Linked DNA regions of Oryzias latipes. The protein of the gene in region 3 purifies or fractionates together with the protein of the main gene of each other region. This does not show direct contact. Links are inferred from orthologs where the notes say so. Each region holds a gene or a part of one and is shown on either strand. Other genes may lie near its edges.

Region 1 (3,753 bases), on a different chromosome or scaffold from region 3:
ACTTCTTTAAGAAATTCTTCCATGTTTCCTGTGTTAACGTCACCTGTTTGCTATATGATCTTGAGAACGATGAGGAAACCGCCCAGAACTACACAAAAATGGAACTCTTTGGCATCAACGCCACTTGCAGTTTTTTGCGGCGAAAGATCGCCAATTCACATCCCAGGAACACATTACCTACTGTGAAGCATGGGGGTGGAAACATCATGAATTGGGCCTGTGTTTCTGCTCACTGGACATTACAACTGATCCTTGTTACGAAAAGGATGAATGGAGAGATTTTGGGCAAAAGAAAACTTCTTCTTTCAGTGGGAGTACTGAGGATGAAATGTGCCTGGATCTTCCAGCATGACAAAAATCTCAAACACATTGCCTAGAGCAGTGTTTTTCAACCAGTGTGCCGCGGCACACTAGTGTGCCGTGGGAGATGGTCCAGTGTGCCGTGGGAAATTGCCCTCATTAACTGATCTAAAAACATTTCCCATCTCCAGGAAATCAGCTCTGTGTTCATCCAAACAGGCCCTGATAAAACACTGAGTAGTTAGGAATATAAAAGATCACAAAATTATTTTTTCTTTGTGTTTATTTGATTCTATTAAAGACATTTTGATAAGAATGACGGTACCGCGATTTGGCTGCAGCTTTAGCTGTTTTAGGAAAAGTCCCGCCCCTTTAACTGTCTCCGCCAATCATTCTTGAAGGTTTAATCACATGTCATCAGTCTGACCAATCAGAAGTGGTTAAAGTCTTCACTTCCTTGTCCCGATTTAGCTCATAAAGTCTCTCGGTTCTAACAAAAATACCAGCCAAAGGTCGTCTTTAGCGGTGTAGCTTTCCACAGAATCCGGTGTCAGACCGTGGAACAAGTGAACAAAACATTGAAGCTTCTGCCCTTTTGCGGCAGTTTTCACACTACATCTCCCACGATGCACTGGGTTAAAGGGACAGCGTCTTAGCGTACAATGAGTCGTCCTTGTTAAATGTCTTGAAACCACAACAAACACACATGAAACAGTTTTTGAATTTTCTAACTTAACTTTTATTTCATCTTTTAGAAAAAACAGCTGCAACTTCCTGTTTTTTCTGCCCCAATTATCACAAAAATGCACGTGAGATTGCGGGGGGGGGGGGCTGTCGATCAATACAGACTGAGTTTTTTTTTGGATGCTGGTGTGCCGCTGTGTCTTTGTCAAGGTTAAAGTGTGCCGTGGCTCAAAAAATGTTGAAAAACACTGGCCTAGGCAACACAAAAGTGGCAAAATATGAACCATTTTAAGGCTCTGGAGTGGTCTAGCTAGACTGTGGACCTCAATCCAATAGAGAATCTGTGGAGGGAGATGAAAGTCTGTGATGCTCAGTAACGTCAAAGCTCTTGAGGAGATCTACATGGAGAAATGGACCAAAAGAGAAGACCCAATGAAAATGTCTGACCTCTATCAAAAGAATTGAGATGAACTTTTGATATTGACCAAATACTTATTTTCTACTTCACTTTACAAATGAAGTCTTTAATTTGTAACATTCTATCTCTCAATACTGAGGTGTATCCATAATATGACTTAGGAGTGAATGAATAATGGACACATAATAAGCACTTTAAGCGTCTGGAAAAGCGCAGAAAGATCCAATCCACTATTATTATTATTAATATTGTTATTATTATTATATAAACTTAAAGATTCAATAAAATACTTTTTTTTTAAACAAAAGTAAATTAGGTTCAACAGATCTCAAGACTTTAACAAGGATTTACCAACGTCAGAAAGGACATCCTGCTGTCATAGATGGATTACCATGACAACATGATCGTTTTTTAATTTTTTTGTTTTCATATTTGGAGACACAAACGGTTCATTTTGAGCATACTAACCTGCCATAACAGGGTAATTAAAGTGTTCTGCTGCTGGATCCAGGTTGACCACCTGAACTGAGCGGTTCAAAGCCTCTGCATGCTGGGTCATGGTGGAGCAGTACGTACTCTGAAATATTAATAATAATATTTTAAAAAGATACAATTAATGGCAAAACACAATAACAAAATAAAAACACGCTGGGTGACTGACACCACCTCATGTACTGTTAGCAACAACAGACAAGAGGCTGTAGACCATCCAGTGGCATTTTTGAAAACATACCTTTCCGCTACCAGCCGGGCCCATCACCAACTGGGCATAGCGAGGCATTTTCTCTGAAAAATGCGGTGTGATAAAGATCTTAAGTATCTTTAACCACAGACGCTAGCTTGTAATGCCATACGCATCGGTGTGATGACGCTACTTCTTCTTCTCCGGTAGATGATTTACGGTCAGGCTCATTACTGCCACCTACTGATCAAAAGAGGAAATGGAAGTCAGGGTGACAGTGGTCTGAAAAAGAGCCACAATGGAATGAACTGGTGATGAATTATTACACCTTTCGCACGGTGGATGTGAAAACAAAAATGCAATCCCATCTTTGCATTTTCGCTTTAATTATGCCACAGAATAAGCGGTGTTGAAGAAGAAAAAGAAAAGCAGATTGGCTCATTCGTTTGTAATTTTATTTTTTAATTCACTTGATGCAGTTACATTTTCAAAATGAAAAAGCATTTCTGTTAATAAACTTTGATGATCAAAGAAGATATTTCTAATTACATTATGCTACACATTTAGTAAAAAATGTCGAATACCATTTTCTTTCTCATTTTAATTAAGTGACAGAATGAGCTGTGTTGAAGAAGAAGAAAAAGAAAAAGTGGTTTGGTCGGATTGTTTTTTTTTTTATTATAAATTATTACAAATGCAGCTTCATTTTAAAAATTGAAAAAGCATTTCTGGTATTGACTTTCATTTTAAAATATACTACAGAAATCTTCCATACGAATGTACTGATGATGAGCATTGAACCAATATAGTGAGGAAAATACTGTGCAACAATTGTTTTCTTTTTGTGTGTCAATTACCATTGAGTCGCAAATTCTGTGGCAGTGTCAGTTGTGGCATTTTTTTAAGTTTCCCCAGGAAATGAAAAATTTTGCTCTTTAACTTTAAAATTGCTTTATTAAAACCATATGTATTTATTTGAACAAGTCGTTTAAACTGCCTATGATATGACCACGATAACCATGAAACTTAAAGCAAAGATCATGACAATAAGTTGTTCACAAACTGGCCGTTAGGGAGCGGTAGAGCCCCAGGGATCTTTGCTGTCAACAAACGAAACCACCAAAATTGAGTAAGAAGTAGAAAGTGACTGCATCAACATGCGATGATCAGGTGAAATTTGGAAACGTATGCAAGCCTTCCTGCTCACCAAGTTTGTTGATTGCGTCCTTCATCAGGCGCTTAAATTAATAGTATGTTTCGAGGAAGTGAATGGAGTTAACAGGCCAAGTTTGTGTACAGACATTACCGCGTGACGGTGGACTTCTTAGCAGGTACTACTACTACTACTAACTATGGCAAGTCTTTGTTTTTCTATTTTTTAAAACAAATGTTTTCTTTTTTTGTTGTATTTTTTTTTGCTGTCTGAAACACGTTCATGTTAATTTTCGTCAGTGCTTTCGATTTACGTGATATGAAATAGTTTCACTTCAGGAACTACCTTAAGGTTTGTTGTTAGCATAAGGCTCTGTATTTGTTTACGAGCGATAATAATCCTCTCTTTTTTTAAATCCTAGTTATAAATGACTATAATAATCGTTTGTGTAGCGTTAAAAAGTAATGAGGTCTGAAAACCTCCGTTAAGATAAATGAACCTATAAGTAAACATTAA
Region 2 (3,753 bases), on a different chromosome or scaffold from region 3:
GGTTGTCAAAAAAAGAATAAATAAAAACTTGAATTATAAGAAAAACAACAATGGAGTTACGGCTCATTTTAAATGTTTAAACTGTTTTTCGTCCTCTTTTTCTGGTAAATTAAACTAATCGTAACATTAGTAAAAGGTTTTTCCACATGGTTCTAAAGTAAGCAAATGATAGTTAATTTTTAAGGTAATTGGATCTGTGAACACTGTGAATGTATAACTGCAATCCAGTCATCATAAATGATAATTTGAGAAACAGGTGTGTTGTGCTATTTGAACACCACAGATGCAGAAAGTTGTCACATTTCGTGTTTAACTAAAATTAGAAAAAGTTGAAGAAGGCCTGTAAGTCAGTATTCCGGGCTGCAGCTGTAAAGTTTGATCAAAAGTGAACATAAAACTGTGATTTTTGCTGTAATGACGTTATATTAAATGCCGACATCAAGAAAATGGATATTTTAACTAAAAGCAATAATTCGCTGTTCAAATCCAACAGAACATCCTTTATTGCATCTTCTTTCAACTATTTATAGTGCATCCAATTGCAACGCATGCAGACTAAAGTTTTTTTTTCTGAACTGACAGTTTAATTAAAGCTAGAAGTAATATTTTTTTTCTTTAACGTGTGTTTCTGTTTGTTAGTTTTTATACGTTTTAATGCTTGTACAGCTCTAAGTTAAGATTCGGTTTATTTTTTATGTTTCGTAAAATATTTACAATACTAAACATTTACCCAGAGTGCACTCTGGTAGACTTTTCTAGACGTCAAACAGAAATGACACGCTTGGTTTTCAAAGTAAGAGCGAACATTTAGATAACGTGTTAACATTTTAAGAAAAACACATGTAAGATACGTGATAACGAAGATTAAATTGGCATGTAATTTATGGTTTGGTGTTTTGGGAGAAACTTGCATAAAAAAACGTTGCCCACTCCAAGTCTCTTCCGTTCACGGGTTTTATTTTGAAACTAAAAACCGGAACAGCTCCCGTTTCTTCCCCTGTGGGTCGATCTGCACAGCGAAAGAAGCGAGGAGTTCTCTGCTAACCTCTGGATCCAAACTCGGCGGATTTTTTTGGAGATCATGCAGAAGCCGTGAAATGAGCGTGTGAGATGATATCACCTTCGGACGTGAGGATTACCGTCGATGCCCCGTTGATGAAGGCGCGCGGGACGGGCCTCCGGAGGAGCTGCTGCTGCTGCGTTCATAAACACTTCTTTAGGACTCACAACAAACCCTGAGCTTTGGTGCTCCTCAGAGCCCCAAGGCACCTGTGCACGTGCGGAGTAAGGATGGCTGGAGGAGGAGGTAAAGCGAACATGAAGCCCCTCGGCGGGGTTCACAGGCTCCGAGAGGAGCACGAGAAGGTAAGAGGAGCGCGTGAGCAGATCTGCAGCTGCGGGCCACGAGGCTTGTTTCCTTCTGAAAACATCCTCCTCTGCAGACATGAGCCGCAAATACGGAGAAAGAAGATTCGTTTCTTTTCTTTGCCCTGCTTCAGGTGAATTAGATCAACCCACAAGCCCCTCCCCCAAACCTTTACCTGAGCTTTTACTCCTGCAGGTTGTTTGGTTTCAGACTCCATGTTTACAGGCTGCCTTTGCTGCTAACTTCTGTTTTTTCTCTCTCTCTCTCTTTCTCTCTGTTTGGCTAATAAGGAACACAAAACTCAGTTTGATAGCATGAAAACATGTATGTTGTGTTGAACGTGTCATGTTGTTCATGAAAGCATTTTTTTCCTGCATCAGGTGGTGAAAGACTGTGACTCACGGATTCAGCATTGGTAAGCTGCACAGTCCTGAAAGTTTCTCCTCTTCTACGGTTTCCTCTCTGCTTTGAGTGTGAATGTGTACGACTTGGATATGAATGCAACAAAGACGCTCAAAGTTTGCAGGAGAATAACCCCCCTCCCTTTTTTTTAAGCTGCAGTCATGGATTTAGATGATCGCATTTTCAATTTTAGAACTTGACGGTTAAAGCTTCCCATATTATTTTCCTCATATGGCAAAGACAAAAGTTTTTCTAGGATTTAGCAGTCTATCGCCACAGCATGATACTTCCGCCACCCTGCTTTACCATGGAGACACGCCCCCACAGAAGACTAGTTTAGCTCCTAAACCGTCCCTCGCCCACAGTCGGCCCTGATGCAACATTTCCTTTTGTGGTCCGTTAGCAACTTCCATATTTTTGCAGAATTCTCCCCTTTTTCTTTGCTTTCTCTTTCATTTTCTAGGATGTATGAGAACAAAATAATTCAGAAAGATGCAAAAAACAAACCAGATCAGCCAATTTAAACTCCACTATCTGATGAGGTTGACATCGTTTACTCGCACCAGGCGAATAATCTTAAGAAATTAGGTAATAATTGGCGTTTATTTGTTTAGGGAAACGTTTATTTTTTCTGCTCTGTTTTTTTTACTATATAAACTATAAACTTTCAGGTTATTTTGTGAGTTATACTCTTGTAAAAATGTAGTTTAAATGCATTTAAATGTCCTTTTTTCCTTAAAGATTTTCAGCAGTCATTTATTTTGGTTTTGTTTACAGTCTTCATGAAGGCGTAAAAGTTTTTTTTAATCTCTAATGCAAGTTAATAAAAGTTAAGATGTTTTGGTTTAAAGTAGTTTTCCTTATAGATGATTGTCATTGCCCCCTTGTGGCCATCTGAGCAATAACATCCTTTAACTTTACTCATCATTTTATACCCAAATCGCATCAATTGGGTTAAATTCTGAATATTTCTGTGACCCGACCTGCAGGATGAAGGTGTCGGGTGATTACGACGCGCTCAGCGATCGACTCAAAACCCTCCCAGACCGGCTCTCCTATGACATCATGGTGAGCGCTCGCCGTTTCACTTGACAAGTTTACAGAGTGACCCAAAAACCAAAACTTTACTGGAAGTTCTGTGTCTCCCGTTTGCTCCATGTTCGCGCCCACTTCCTGTCAGCTGCTCTGACTAACCCGGTTCTGTTCTGTGGCCCGTCCGGGCCTCCTTGTGCTGTGAGCAGGTGCCCTTCGGCCCGCTGGCCTTCACGCCCGGCAAGCTGGTGCGCACCAACGAGGTCACCGTGTTGCTGGGCGACAACTGGTTCGCCAAGTGTTCGGCCAAACAAGCCCAAGCGGTGGTGGATCACAGGATGAAGCGTGAGTTTCTGAACGGCGGCGTGTGGCTGCAGAGCGGCGGCCTGTGGCTGCAGAGCGGCGGCCTGTGGCTGCAGAGCGGCGGCGTCTCCAGCGGGGGGCGGCAGTGCGTCACATTCCGACAGCCTGAGCTTTACTTTACAGACGTTTCTGGGCTCAGGATGAAGTACGTCTTTGTGTAAAAGCGTTTGGACTCGTTCTTTACGTCAGTGACGGCTGCAGGCTTAGCCCCCCCCCCCCCCCCCCCCCACCACCACACTTTTGTGGCCAGGTTATAGACCGCTATGGTCGTTTGGCGTGTTGTCCGGACGCTACAGCCTTTACCTCCACATAAAAAAACCCTCTCTGATTTGAACATTATTAGACTGTTTAGTGAAGCAGAAATGCCCCCCCCCCGCCCCCCCCTCTCCTGACCCCCGCCATCCCTGCTATTACACAGCTAAGTGCTGTAATGCAAACACAGCGAGCTGAAATGTGTCAGACAGCGGCTGAGCTGTCTGGCCTTCTGCGTTTGACCTTTCCTCACTTCCAGTTGATGCACTGACTGGAGGGGCTCGCCATCGCCATGGAAACAAGGGCCCTCTGCTGCTATTAGTGAAAGGGCTTAATTG
Region 3 (3,753 bases):
TTTAACAGAAACATTTCATTAAAATCAAGATAATTGAAATGGGTTTGGTGCAAGTTACACATTTTCAACAAAACATCTGAAAGGGCAGAAAAAATGCTTATTCATTATGTTTGTGGCTCTCAAAACAGAAAAAGAATAATAATTTTGAATTCAATTTTTCCTTTTTATGTGTATATTTATGTGACTAACACATTCAACTGACTTCCATTTAACAGTAAAAAAAATAAATAAAAAAATAAAAATAAAAAGCATTGACCATGAGGAAAGTAAAAGGTTTTAAGCAGAATATAAAAACAGGCACAATAATGAAGGAAATGCTTACCTGGAAAAGATAGAGCTTATCTGCGAGGCTTTTGGCGAGGTACACGTCAATCTACAGAAACACACAAATGAAAATCAGACTTTTCCACTCTGCACAAATGACTCTGAGCTTCAAGGTTTTCAACGTAATATTATATGAGTCTTAACTGCATTTCTATTCATGTAGTTATCTAAATAAAATGTCTTAAAACATAATAAATAAGAAAATTGTTAAACTAAACATTATTTGTTTAGCACTTTACATACATAACGTTGCTTCCTAAAGTGCATGAAACATAAGTACACAAAAAGTCAATTAAAAAATAGTTTTTTTGAAAACATATTAATAAACAATACCAAAAAGGTTTTTCTGCCTATGAATACATCTGCCTCTTAAACACAACAACTTCTCTTAAACAATGGCACAAAAGGCTTCCTTGGGCATTTTGTACAAACCACCTGCTAATCTACACACTAAAACTCCCACACCAAGTGTAAACTGAAGGAGACATTTCCAGTTGAAAACCCCAAAGCAGCGGCACTCCTTTTTGTACATATGGCTCAATATGCAATCCTGCAGATCAGGTTATAGGAAAAATGCTGCAAAACTCAGAGGCTCTTCTTTTTTGGGGGGGTTTCCCAAAGAAACTGATGACCCACACTCTGATGAAAATTGTTTTTTTTTTTTATGATGATGGAGGACATGTATGTGAAAATTAACCACTCTAATTAAAATGCGTTTGGAAAAACCAAACCACTTGCCTAATACTGTTAATGTTGTTTAATGTAAATATGTGACCGATTTCAGAGGCTGTCAGTAGTTTCCATTCTCTTTAGAGAAGGTCACAGTGTAAACACAGATGAATTGTTAGACAACAGCATGTTGGATTGTTTTTCAATCGACCGCAGACCACAGAAAAACGTCTTCAAATTAGCTTAAAACAAACACTAATACATGCTAGTTTAATGGGAACTACATTTACCCATAAACATGGTCATTTCCTTATTTTTGAGATCAATAAAGTTTAATTCATTCATTCAAATACATATTTCTCATGGCTCAAAGTTGCTGCATAGCAGTGATCAGAAGAGGATTGAAACTTTATTTAAATTCCAGACGTAAACATACCTCCTCTATAATTGGATCATCTTCATCTCCACTGGCCATATCTATAGGATCAGGGGAGCAGCAGTGATATATCAGAGGACTTCAACCTGGACAAAATAAATGCAAAGCAAGAATCCGTCATTGATTAACACTGCTTTTAATATGCTACAGCAGGTAATCCAAAAGAACAGAAAGGTTTAACAGAAGTCCTAGTAATCCAGATGTACATTATATTTGTAAAAAAAAAAAAAAGTGTTTCATTGGTAGTTAAACGTATAACAAGTTACATTTCTGTATCTATATGCGATCTAAACTAATCTGTGATGATGCAGCATGTCAGATGATGCTTTCACGGACCCATCACGGCGAAACTGATGTAATAGTACGCAACCATCCAAAAAATTGAAGTTTTTCACTTCCCTAAATACAAACGACGTCCAGCATCCTTGTCAATCTGTGATTTATGTTGGTTACACAATTTTCTGCAGGCCCACAGTTCAGAAAAGTCAGATAGTTCTTGCTTCGTTAGCTTCATTAGCCTAGCAAGCATCAGCTCTTTAAATTACTAGCCACAGGCCCCCACAACAGAGACACTCAAAATAACATTTCTTTACAAATACGCGCTTAAGTAGACAGAGACGAACGACACTTTTAACTGTGGAGTTTTCTGAAAATTCCAAAACTGAAGGTAGGCTGTAGCTAAGCTAACCAGAGTAATGTAGCTTAGCGTGCTAACACACACATCAGAGATTTATGATAAACAAGACAAAACATCAGATTTAGCACTTTGGACATGTGGCATCCCCATAGAAACAGCGTGAGGCCTCACCTGCTCACCCCCTGCAGTTTAAATATATAACACGTTCAAGAACAGTCCATGAGTGAACTACTAGACTTGAAGCAAACTACCGGGCTTGAGGTACCATGATGTTGACGCTGTTTCAACAGACACGTGGGGAGTTGGACGTGCTCGTGCAAATAATGCTATTCGGACCAAACTGCGGAACTGAGCACTGTCACGTGTCTTTATAACCTATTTACTTTAACTTACCTTTTATTCACTAATTCGTTCTGCATGTGTTTTCTTTAACTGTTAGATCAAGCGTTGAGGAAAAACAACGACGTACCAAAAAGAATTCTTGGCAGCGGTGGGATTCGAACCCACGCCCCCGAAGAGACTGGAGCCTTAATCCAGCGCCTTAGACCGCTCGGCCACGCTACCGTGATGCATTGCGAAGGAAAATGTGTCATCATAGTCCATAGGCAGCTGAACGCTGCCTATTCATGTTCAATTATAAATGCAACCACAAGGCTGCACGACGCATTACCTGTCCCATGTCCGGCTAAAGGACATGGGACATATATATATACGTGCCGTATATGTATATATGAATTGTGTATCACGAAACAACAAGAACCGAGACATTCGGAAAAGTTTTTTTTTTATTTGGAAATAGGTAAGTACCAATGAAGAGAAACCTTTTATACCTGGGTTACACTAAGACTGGTATAATTTACTTAAAGAATAAAGAATCAATAAATACTTCCTACATTTAACACAATTGAGTGTCAATCAGTTGTGTTAAATTTAAAACAACTCATTGTCACTCAACGTCACCCTAGTGGTATCCAGTCGAGATGCAACAATTCACTTTCTCCACGATTTTGTTCAGTTCAATGGTGAAACACACGGTTCAATTTTAAACAGGGAATTGTGAGATGGTTTGTAAATACAAAGGGTTGTGTCATGAAGGGCACCCAGTAAAACCAAAGTCAATACAGTCGTGCAAACTACAACAATAAATTTTATACTAATCGTGGCAAAGGTGTAACAACAACCACCAATGGTACAGTCATCCACAGGGTGCCAATGGAAATTGGACATGTATGAGAGGTGTGAGGCAGTGGTGAGATGGTCTTCCTTGTTTGTGTGGTGATGAACAGACTGACAGATGAAGTTAGACAGAAATCTCTGTGGACCATGATGTCTGCAAATGACATGCATTGAAAGCAGAAAGGAAGTGGAAGAACAACTAGAGAGGTGGGGGTTTGACGTGGAAAGGAGAGGACTGAAGGTCCGCTGCAGAAGATGGGGAGGATTTCCAGTCTAGAACAACAGATTGGTTGTAGAGGCATATGCAGACAGGTTGTAATGGGTGGAGGAAGGTTTAGGTATGATGTGAGACAAAAGAAAAATGTTAGCAAGAATGAAAGGAAAGGTGTAGAAGATGGTGAGAGAGCAGCCATGTTGTTGGTTTAAAGCAGAGGTCTGCAACCATCAACACTTAAAAAGCCATTTGACCTTTTATGTGTTGGAGTAGTAGGAGCCACAAAGTCTTTAGGAA

What was found.
Region 1: the proteins of polr3e (region 3) and gpn3 purify together in Homo sapiens (affinity purification with mass spectrometry; 3 studies listed by BioGRID and IntAct, counting the BioPlex papers as one, with this or other methods). This does not show direct contact. The link is inferred for Oryzias latipes from reciprocal best matches to the Homo sapiens genes POLR3E and GPN3.
Region 2: the proteins of polr3e (region 3) and uri1 purify together in Homo sapiens (affinity purification with mass spectrometry; 4 studies listed by BioGRID and IntAct, with this or other methods). This does not show direct contact. The link is inferred for Oryzias latipes from reciprocal best matches to the Homo sapiens genes POLR3E and URI1.

The regions. Positions count from the first base shown.
Region 1 is NC_019870.2:16,801,679-16,805,431, forward strand, and holds the start of gpn3 (GPN-loop GTPase 3), read right to left. Parts: upstream 2,299-3,753; 5' UTR 2,184-2,298; coding exon 2,136-2,183; intron 1,980-2,135; coding exon 1,871-1,979; intron 1-1,870. UniProt on the Homo sapiens protein: Small GTPase required for proper localization of RNA polymerase II (RNAPII). May act at an RNAP assembly step prior to nuclear import.
Region 2 is NC_019864.2:30,477,071-30,480,823, forward strand, and holds the start of uri1 (unconventional prefoldin RPB5 interactor 1), read left to right. Parts: upstream 1-972; 5' UTR 973-1,290; coding exon 1,291-1,365; intron 1,366-1,746; coding exon 1,747-1,781; intron 1,782-2,757; coding exon 2,758-2,836; intron 2,837-3,009; coding exon 3,010-3,145; intron 3,146-3,753. UniProt on the Homo sapiens protein: Involved in gene transcription regulation. Acts as a transcriptional repressor in concert with the corepressor UXT to regulate androgen receptor (AR) transcription.
Region 3 is NC_019877.2:13,143,174-13,146,926, forward strand, and holds the start of polr3e (DNA-directed RNA polymerase III subunit RPC5), read right to left. Parts: upstream 2,604-3,753; 5' UTR 2,536-2,603; exon of another isoform or gene 2,460-2,535; intron 2,404-2,459; exon of another isoform or gene 2,238-2,403; intron 1,516-2,237; 5' UTR 1,469-1,515; coding exon 1,430-1,468; intron 374-1,429; coding exon 323-373; intron 1-322. UniProt on the Homo sapiens protein: DNA-dependent RNA polymerase catalyzes the transcription of DNA into RNA using the four ribonucleoside triphosphates as substrates.